Linked DNA regions of Canis lupus familiaris. The protein of the gene in region 1 interacts with the protein of each later gene in a pairwise test. Links are inferred from orthologs where the notes say so. Each region holds a gene or a part of one and is shown on either strand. Other genes may lie near its edges.

What was found.
Region 2: the proteins of CREB3 (region 1) and CYBC1 interact in a two-hybrid assay, tested with the Homo sapiens proteins (2 studies listed by BioGRID and IntAct). The two-hybrid records come from large-scale screens. The link is inferred for Canis lupus familiaris from reciprocal best matches to the Homo sapiens genes CREB3 and CYBC1.

The regions. Positions count from the first base shown.
Region 1 is NC_049232.1:52,553,966-52,557,709, forward strand, and holds the start of CREB3 (cyclic AMP-responsive element-binding protein 3), read left to right. Parts: upstream 1-1,278; 5' UTR 1,279-1,674; coding exon 1,675-1,767; intron 1,768-1,872; coding exon 1,873-2,020; intron 2,021-2,109; coding exon 2,110-2,177; intron 2,178-2,291; coding exon 2,292-2,381; intron 2,382-3,744. UniProt on the Homo sapiens protein: Endoplasmic reticulum (ER)-bound sequence-specific transcription factor that directly binds DNA and activates transcription. Plays a role in the unfolded protein response (UPR), promoting cell survival versus ER stress-induced apoptotic cell death.
Region 2 is NC_049230.1:759,910-763,653, forward strand, and holds the start of CYBC1 (cytochrome b-245 chaperone 1), read left to right. Parts: upstream 1-1,419; 5' UTR 1,420-1,506; intron 1,507-2,020; 5' UTR 2,021-2,057; coding exon 2,058-2,142; intron 2,143-3,083; coding exon 3,084-3,125; intron 3,126-3,712; coding exon 3,713-3,744. UniProt on the Homo sapiens protein: Functions as a chaperone necessary for a stable expression of the CYBA and CYBB subunits of the cytochrome b-245 heterodimer. Controls the phagocyte respiratory burst and is essential for innate immunity.

The DNA.
Region 1 (3,744 bases):
AGCTAGAATCCCAGATACCTGCAATTCTAGTTGAAGCCCAGATCCCTAACCTGAAATGAGTTTATCCTATCTCTGGGCTAGAGAACCCCTGAAACTACGTAGGAATGAGACCTCCCTGCAAAACGAGAGCACCTACCTACTGCCAATCTCTTAAATTCAATATATCCAAGGTCAGCTACCCTAACCTCAGCCATAACCCCCATAAAACTAACCCTAATCCCTAATATTAACCCTGACCCTAATTTGGTTCCTGTTTCCCAACACTGGCTTTGACATTCATCCCTTTCCTGGCAGACACCCGTCCCCAATCCTTGATCCCTAATATTGATCTACTTTTTACCTCTAGGAATGAATTTCCTGACCTTAACTCTAAATGTTGATCTCTAAGCCTAAAACTGTTGTCTCACTTGACTTCTGATCCATCCCTTCGCGATTTATCCCTAGTTCCATGCTAATGTTCTCTAATCCCTAAAAAACTGGACTTCTAATTTAAATCCTGTGTTGACCCTTAAACCGGCCCTGAACCCTAACTTTGACTTACGTTGGCCAGAAACAGAATAATGACCTAATCCAAACTCTACCTACATAAAACGGACCCGACTCACACTGGTAACTCTAAATGTCAACTCCGGTTTTTAACTCCGTAAGCTAACCTTTAATTCCTAAACCCAACTCTACCTAATTCCCAAACTCACCCCCAGCTTTCCTACCCGCATACTCACTATCAGCTAACCTCAAAGCCGATCCCCGCCCTGCGCCTCACTGTCACCCAACTCCTCACCCTCCCCAAAACTTATTCCAGACAGAGAGGACTTGATCCCAGGAAAGGCTTGGCTCCCTTAAAACGACCTACTTAACTTCCGATCCCAAGCCGAGATACACTGGACGCTGACCTCTCCAACAGGACCCGAAACAGCGGACGCAAGGGCCCCGCCCGCCCTGCCACCCGCGCTGCCACCCGCGCTCGCGCTCGCTTCCCGGTCCTGGCCGTGCGGCCCCACCCTGAGGCTCCGGCTCGGCCCGGTCCGGCCTACCTGCGCTGCCCGGCTCGTGCCCCGCCCGCCGGCCCGATAACCCGCTCGCTCTCCCGGTGGTAATCGGGCTTCGGCCTCGCCCTCCCTTCGACACTCTCTCGGCCACTTCCGTCCCCGGAACGTCCCCCACCCGCGGGCGGCGCCCTGGGCCCGCGCTCTATGGTTGTGGGGGCAACAGGAAGCTGCTCTGGCCCCAGCTCTCGATGCTCGGGAGCCGGCCTTAAAAAGGCGCCCCCCCCCGCCCCCCGGCCGGCTCCCCCGGCAGGAAACAAGGGTGCGGCGCAATCCGGGAAGACGCCCGAACTGCGCGCGAGTTCCCCTTTGGTCTCTAACCCTTCCTTTTTTTTCAGCCTGGGGCCGAGGCGGAGGCGGCCTCCCAGATTGCCCGCCCTCAGGGTGTGAGGAGGCCGCAGGGACGTCCCCTCTATTTGCAGAGCTCCCGGGACGTGGCGCGCCGCGGCTAGGCCACTTCCGCGTCGGAGGGAACTCCAAATCCCGTGGTGCCTCGGGGGTGTGCGCGTCACTTCCGTGGTGTTGGAAGTTGCGGAGAATCGGGTCTTGGGGGCTGGTGCAATTTCAGAGCGACAGGTCCGGGCTTGCGGATAGGTCTCTCTGTACATCTTTCCGGTTGTTATCCGGTATGGAGCTGGCGTTGGACTTGGGTGACCAGGACCTGCTGGATTTCCTGCTAGAGGAAAGCGGCGATTTGGGGGCCGGGCCGCCGCTTTCCGAGGTGGGTGGGGGCTGCGAGCCGGGGAGGCGCGGGGATCCCGGGAGAGCGTTCATGGGGTGGTGGGTAGTTGATAGGTCAAGGCTTGTTTATTTGAACCCTGTGCAGGCGTTGAGTGAATGGGAGGCAGAGGATTTCCTGAGTTCCATGCTGAGTCCCCCAGCATCGTTGAACGTCCTTAGCTCCTCTGATTCCTGTCTCGTGCACCATGATCACACCTACTCTCTCTCACAACAGCATGTTTCCATAGATCTAGGTGAGTCTGAAATATGATGAGGAAGAAAGTGAGGTTTGAGGGGAGGAGAGGCTTCGTGGGTCTGGCTATTTATACTTTTCGTTTTGCAGATGGTGGGAGCTATGGAAAAGAAGAGGCCCAGACGACCCCACTGCAAGTGGAGGAGCCCGCAGAGCAGGTACTTGATTTATGGCGGGATCATTCCCACATTGCGCGGGTGGGGGCGGATTCCCCATTCCTTTCTGTCATCCCCTTGCAACTCTGCTGCCCACCTCCTGGTAACTAATCCCAGGAGATTGCTAGGCTGATACTGACAGATGAAGAGAAGAGGCTGTTGGAGAAGGAGGGGCTTACTCTGCATGGGACGCTTCCTCTTACTAAGGTAAGACTCCCATTGGTGGGAGTGAAGGCTGGAGGGATGTGTTGTGGATCCCAAGTGTGCACTTCTGTTAACTTTATGTCAGGAAGGACTGAGGTTAGAAAACTTGGCAAATTTGTTGGTAATAGGAAGCTGGAGCATGATGTTAATATGGTGGATGCAGAGGCAGATCCTGGTTTTGTGGGGCTCATACAAGTTTTGGTGTTTTCTTTGAGAAGAATTCAAAATCATCGATGCAACATTAGTGTAGGGTCTTGGAAGGGACTGTGCAAGCAAACTCATGGTAATCCACCTGTAGCTAAATGGTTAGAGTTCATCAAGGCTGGACTAAGTAATATAGCAAGAATAATTGTAAAATCCCAAGTTTTAAGTTTCAGGCAATGAATAGCAGCTTCACAAGCACAGTATTGTGGTACTGTTGTGAAACCAACACTACAGGAAGGTTGAGAGAATTTTCTTAAAAGTACAAGATGGGTTAGTTTGAGATGACAGAGAGTGGGGTTTGAAGGCTGTATCAGTAGAGGTGTTGCCTCTAGAAGGGCAGTGACCATCTTCTTCTCCATTATACTGGCCAGAGCACATCTTAGTGTCTAGTTTTGAACCCAGATCTTTGACAGATATTAAGAGGATGCAGTCCATCCCGAAGAGAGGTGAGAAGTTAATTTTTTTTTTTTTAAGATTTTACTTATTTATTCATGAGAGACACACAGAGAGAGGCAGAGACACAGGCAGCGGGAGAAGCAGGCTCTATGCAGGGAGCCCGATATGGGACTTGATCCTGGGACTCCAGGATCGTGCCCTGGGCTGAAGGGAGGTACTAACCTGCTGAGCCACCCAGGCATCCCGAGAAGTTAAAATTTTTGCCCAGATCTTTTAACTCTGAAGAAATGTTAAATGGCTTAAATTAAAGACTGTTCATTCTGGGATCCCTGGGTGGCTCAGCAGTTTAGCACCTGCCTTCAGCCCAGAGCGTGATCCTGCAGACCCGGGATCGAGACCCACAGCAGGCTCCCTGCGTGGAGCCTGCTTCTCTCACTGCCTGTGTCTCTGCCTCTCTCTCTCTGTGTGTGTGTCTCTCATGAATAAGTAATAAGATCTTAAAAAAAAAAACAAAAAAAAAACCTTCATTCTATATGGTCTCAGAGATAGGTACCAGGTAAGTTCAATTGATAGAAATCATAGAGGCAGATGTCGGTTAGCTTAGGATAAGGAAAATTTAAAGATTTTTTTTTAAAGGTTTATTTATTTTAAATCTTTTTTTTTTTATTTTTATTTATTTATGATAGTCACAGAGAGAGAGAGAGAGAGAGGGGCAAAGACAGAGGCAGAGGAAGAATCAGGCTCCATGCACCGGGAGCCCGATGTG
Region 2 (3,744 bases), on another chromosome or scaffold:
ACAAAGTAGAATTTCCTGGGTCTCCTCTCAGTTCTACCTAAATCCTGAGGAATAAGATCACTTCCAGCTGCAGCAAGCAGGAAGGACCTAAAGGAGGTACTAACAATTCAAATGCACCTTCAAGATAGGGAAGGGGAGTCTTCCTGGAGGAGACAGAGTGTGAGCTGAGGGGTCAGGGAGCCCGCTGTGCTCAGGCACAGCCCAGCTCTGCTGCAGCTGGGGTAGATGGTCTCAAAGTGTGGGTCCTGGACCAGCGGATTAGCAACAGATGACGTTGCAGCCCCCTCCCACCACTAGGAACAAGTGCCAGCAATCTGTGCTTCCACAAGCCTGCCAGGTGATTCAGATGCCTGCCCAGGTTAGGAAGCCACGGGCAGAGAGAAGCTGAAGCAGATGGGTCAGGTCGCGTGCCTGTGTTGGTAAGCCTCCTGGGGTTACGTGTACCCGTGCACACACGTTTCTCTGTAAGGGACTACGCGTTGCACTAATCTTACGAAGGCTGTAAAACATGTTGAGAATAGGAAAGGGACAAAGGAGAAGAGAAGCTCCCCTGTTCTTCCAACATCCCGCTGAGGTGGTGGGTGGGGGCTCCTCCTGACCGCAGCCAGGTGATGGGGTCCTGCTCGGGTCCTCACCTGCGGCAGTAAGAGAAAGTGGCATTTGGCGGAGGGAGCAGGTGGGCCTCCTACGTGGCCATCGCAAGGTTTTCCCGGAGAAAACTGCCTTTCCCACGGCAATCCTTTGTGGACAGGCTAGCCCGCGAGAGCCGGGCCCGGTTCCGGGAGCCTCGGCGCCGCGGCAGTCACCGCAGCGGGGCTCATTTTTTATGACGACTTGTCAGTGCGTGAACAAGCTATTCATGCTCCTTCGATGTTACTGAAGCTTTAGCATTTTTGCCAGAGCTGGTGCACGTGTACTGTTAGATTATCTTCGCTTTTTGTTTATCGATTTTTTTTTTTTTTTTAAAGATTTCATTTGAGAGCAAGAGGGGCTGGGTGGGGAGGTGCGGACCCCGGGGTCGGGACCTGAGCACACGCTCCACCGACTGGGCCACCAGCTGCTTTGATCAACGTTTTATTTTTATTTTTCTATTTTTTTAAAGATTTATTTATTTATGATAGAGAGAGGCAGAGACACGGGCAGAGGGAGCAGCAGGCTCCATGCGGGGAGCCCGACGCGGGACTCGATCCCAGGTCTCAGGAATCGCGCCCTGGGCCAAAGGCAGGCGCTAAACCGCTGCGCCACCCAGGGATCCCCTGATCAATGTTTTAAGGGAGACTTTTGAGGCCCAGTTTACCTTTCCAGGCTTCCTGGGGCGTCGCTCCCGCGCCCCGAGGCGCCGGCTCCCCCGCCGCCCTCCGCCGCGGGCGCTGCGGCAAGAGGCCCCGCCCCGGAAGTCGGGCCCGCCTCGCCCGGAAGTCAGCCGTCCCGCCCCCAACCCCGGAAGTGGGCGGCCCGCCGCGCGCCGCGAGGTCCCGGCTCAGCGCCCGCGGGGTCGTGTGTTCGGTAGGCGCGGGGGTCGGGCCGCCGTCGGGGCTGCGGGCGGGCTGCGGGCGGGCTGCGGGCGGCGCGTGGTGGCGGGAGCGCCGGGCGCGGGGGCCCTGGCTGTGGGGAGCCGCTGACCCCCGCGCCCGCCGCCGTTCGGGCAGCCCGGTGCCGCGCCGCGGAGCCCACCCTCGGTGCGTGCGCGGAGAGCCCGGAGCCCCGCCTGCTGGGTGCCAGCCGCGTCCGCGCGCCTCGGTCCGCGGGCCGGCAGCACCCGCCCCCGGCCCCTCCCCCCTTCCCCCGTCGGTCCCCCCTCCCCCTCCCTCCCCGCCGATCCCTCCCCCCGCCCCCCCGCGCCTCGGCCGCCCGAGGACGCTCGCAGTTCCCTTTCTTGGCGGGGACCGCGCGCTCCGGGAGGCTGCGCCGGGGCGAGGCTCGCGTGCTGCTGGGGCCGCGGGTTCCCGGTGCCCCCGGGCCGGCTCCCCGCGGGCGGGCGGTTGGACCCCAGCCGCGGTCTGCCCTCGCCCTTCCCCAGCCCGTCTGCGTCGGAGCGCTGCCCGCCCAGGCCCGGGATGTACATGCAGGTGGAGTCCCGCAGCAGCTCCTGCCTCCATCTGAAGAGGGCTCCGGGCATCAGGTCCTGGTCTTTGCTTGTTGGTAAGGATTTCCGTATTTCCCCCAAGCTAAAAACCTAACTTTAAAAACACGGAAACAGGGATCCCCGGGTGGCACAGCGGTTTGGCGCCTGCCTTTGGCCCAGGGCTCGATCTTGGAGTCCCGGGATCGAGTCCCACGTCGGGCTCCCGGTGCATGGAGCCTGCTTCTCCCTCCTCTTCTGTCTCTGCCTCTCTCTCTATGATAAATAAATAAATAAATAAATCTTAACTAAAAAATAAAAAAATAAAAACAACGGAAACAAAACTGTCTTGTTGCCCCCAAGTACAACAATTATCTCATATCTTTCTAGCTTTTATCCTCCGTGCGATTGTCCTTTTTCCACCTTCACCTTAAGGTTGTGCCTGTTCTCCCGAGGTCCTGGTGTTCTCCTTTTCCTTGCCTCCCAATGCCCGGGTGCGGGCGTCAGGCTGGGCGGTGGGCCCCAGTTCGCTCCTTCACTGTCCCTCTGGGCGTCCAGCACGCGGGGGCAGCTGCAGGCCATTGGTGGGCCTGGTGTGAGGAGTGGTGTGGCTGTGCCTTCAGCAGCCTGCCTCTGGTCCGTCATTCCCGACACCCTGCTCGTGGCCACCTGCCTGTAGTGCTTCATGTGCCACACGTGGTCCTTGCGCACATGCTGCGCTGGTAGAGTAAACCCCTGCTGTCCGGCTCCTCCCTCTGGTTCGCTGGTCAGCCCTGGAGCCCCAGGTAGAGGAACAGATTCCCGGAACGCAGAATGGCATTTGCCATGGTCCCAAGCGCGCCTCCTGCCTCTTGCCCTCCTTCCTGAGCCATGGTCTCTGGTTCCCCTGCTCCCCACCTCCAGGCACCCTGGCACCAGGAAGGCCTGCTCTCCCTGCACCTCTGGGCCTGTGGCTCCAAGTGAGGGGGCCCTAGGCCGCTGGTGGCCCAATAGAAGCACCTGCTTTCTTTTCTCTTTGCAGGAATCTTGTCCATTGGCCTGGCTGCTGCATACTACAGTGGAGGTGAGGTGCATCCCCCTGCCTCCCTCCCCTCCCCCCTCCCGCCCACCCTGTCACTTAGTCTGTTTGAGAAATAGAGAAAAGAGAGAGAGAACTCACCATTAGTGGTGCCCACTGAGCCCCAGCCTTTGGGGCCACAGGCACCTGTGCAGGTGCTGCCCCAGCCTGAGCACTGGTGCATCCTTCCTAATAGCCTGTCCCGTGCCACCTGTGCTCTTCCCTTCTCGTATCTGGAGCACTTTCCCTGGTGATGAAACTTTCTTAAAAGGTGCTCTTGTATTTGCCTGAGGCTGTTGCAGGCTAAGCCACACTTGTAGCTGCTCCTGCAGGTGGCTCCCTCCACCGTCACAGTCACACCGTGTCTCCAGCAGATGCTGCAGGGAGAGTGGAGGGCACAGAGCTGGCCGGACATTTCACATATGGTTCCAAGTGACAGGCAGGGCCAGCAGTGCCGGGCGGCCACCCTGGGCCAGGTCTGCTGGCCCCAGGTGCCACCCCTGCCCGGTATCGGCTGGCGAGGGGGCCCATGGCACGCAGGCCTCCGCCCGCTGCTGCTGCCCCTCACCCGCTGCCTGTTGTTTGCTCTGCAGATAGTTTGGGCTGGAAGCTCTTCTATGTCACC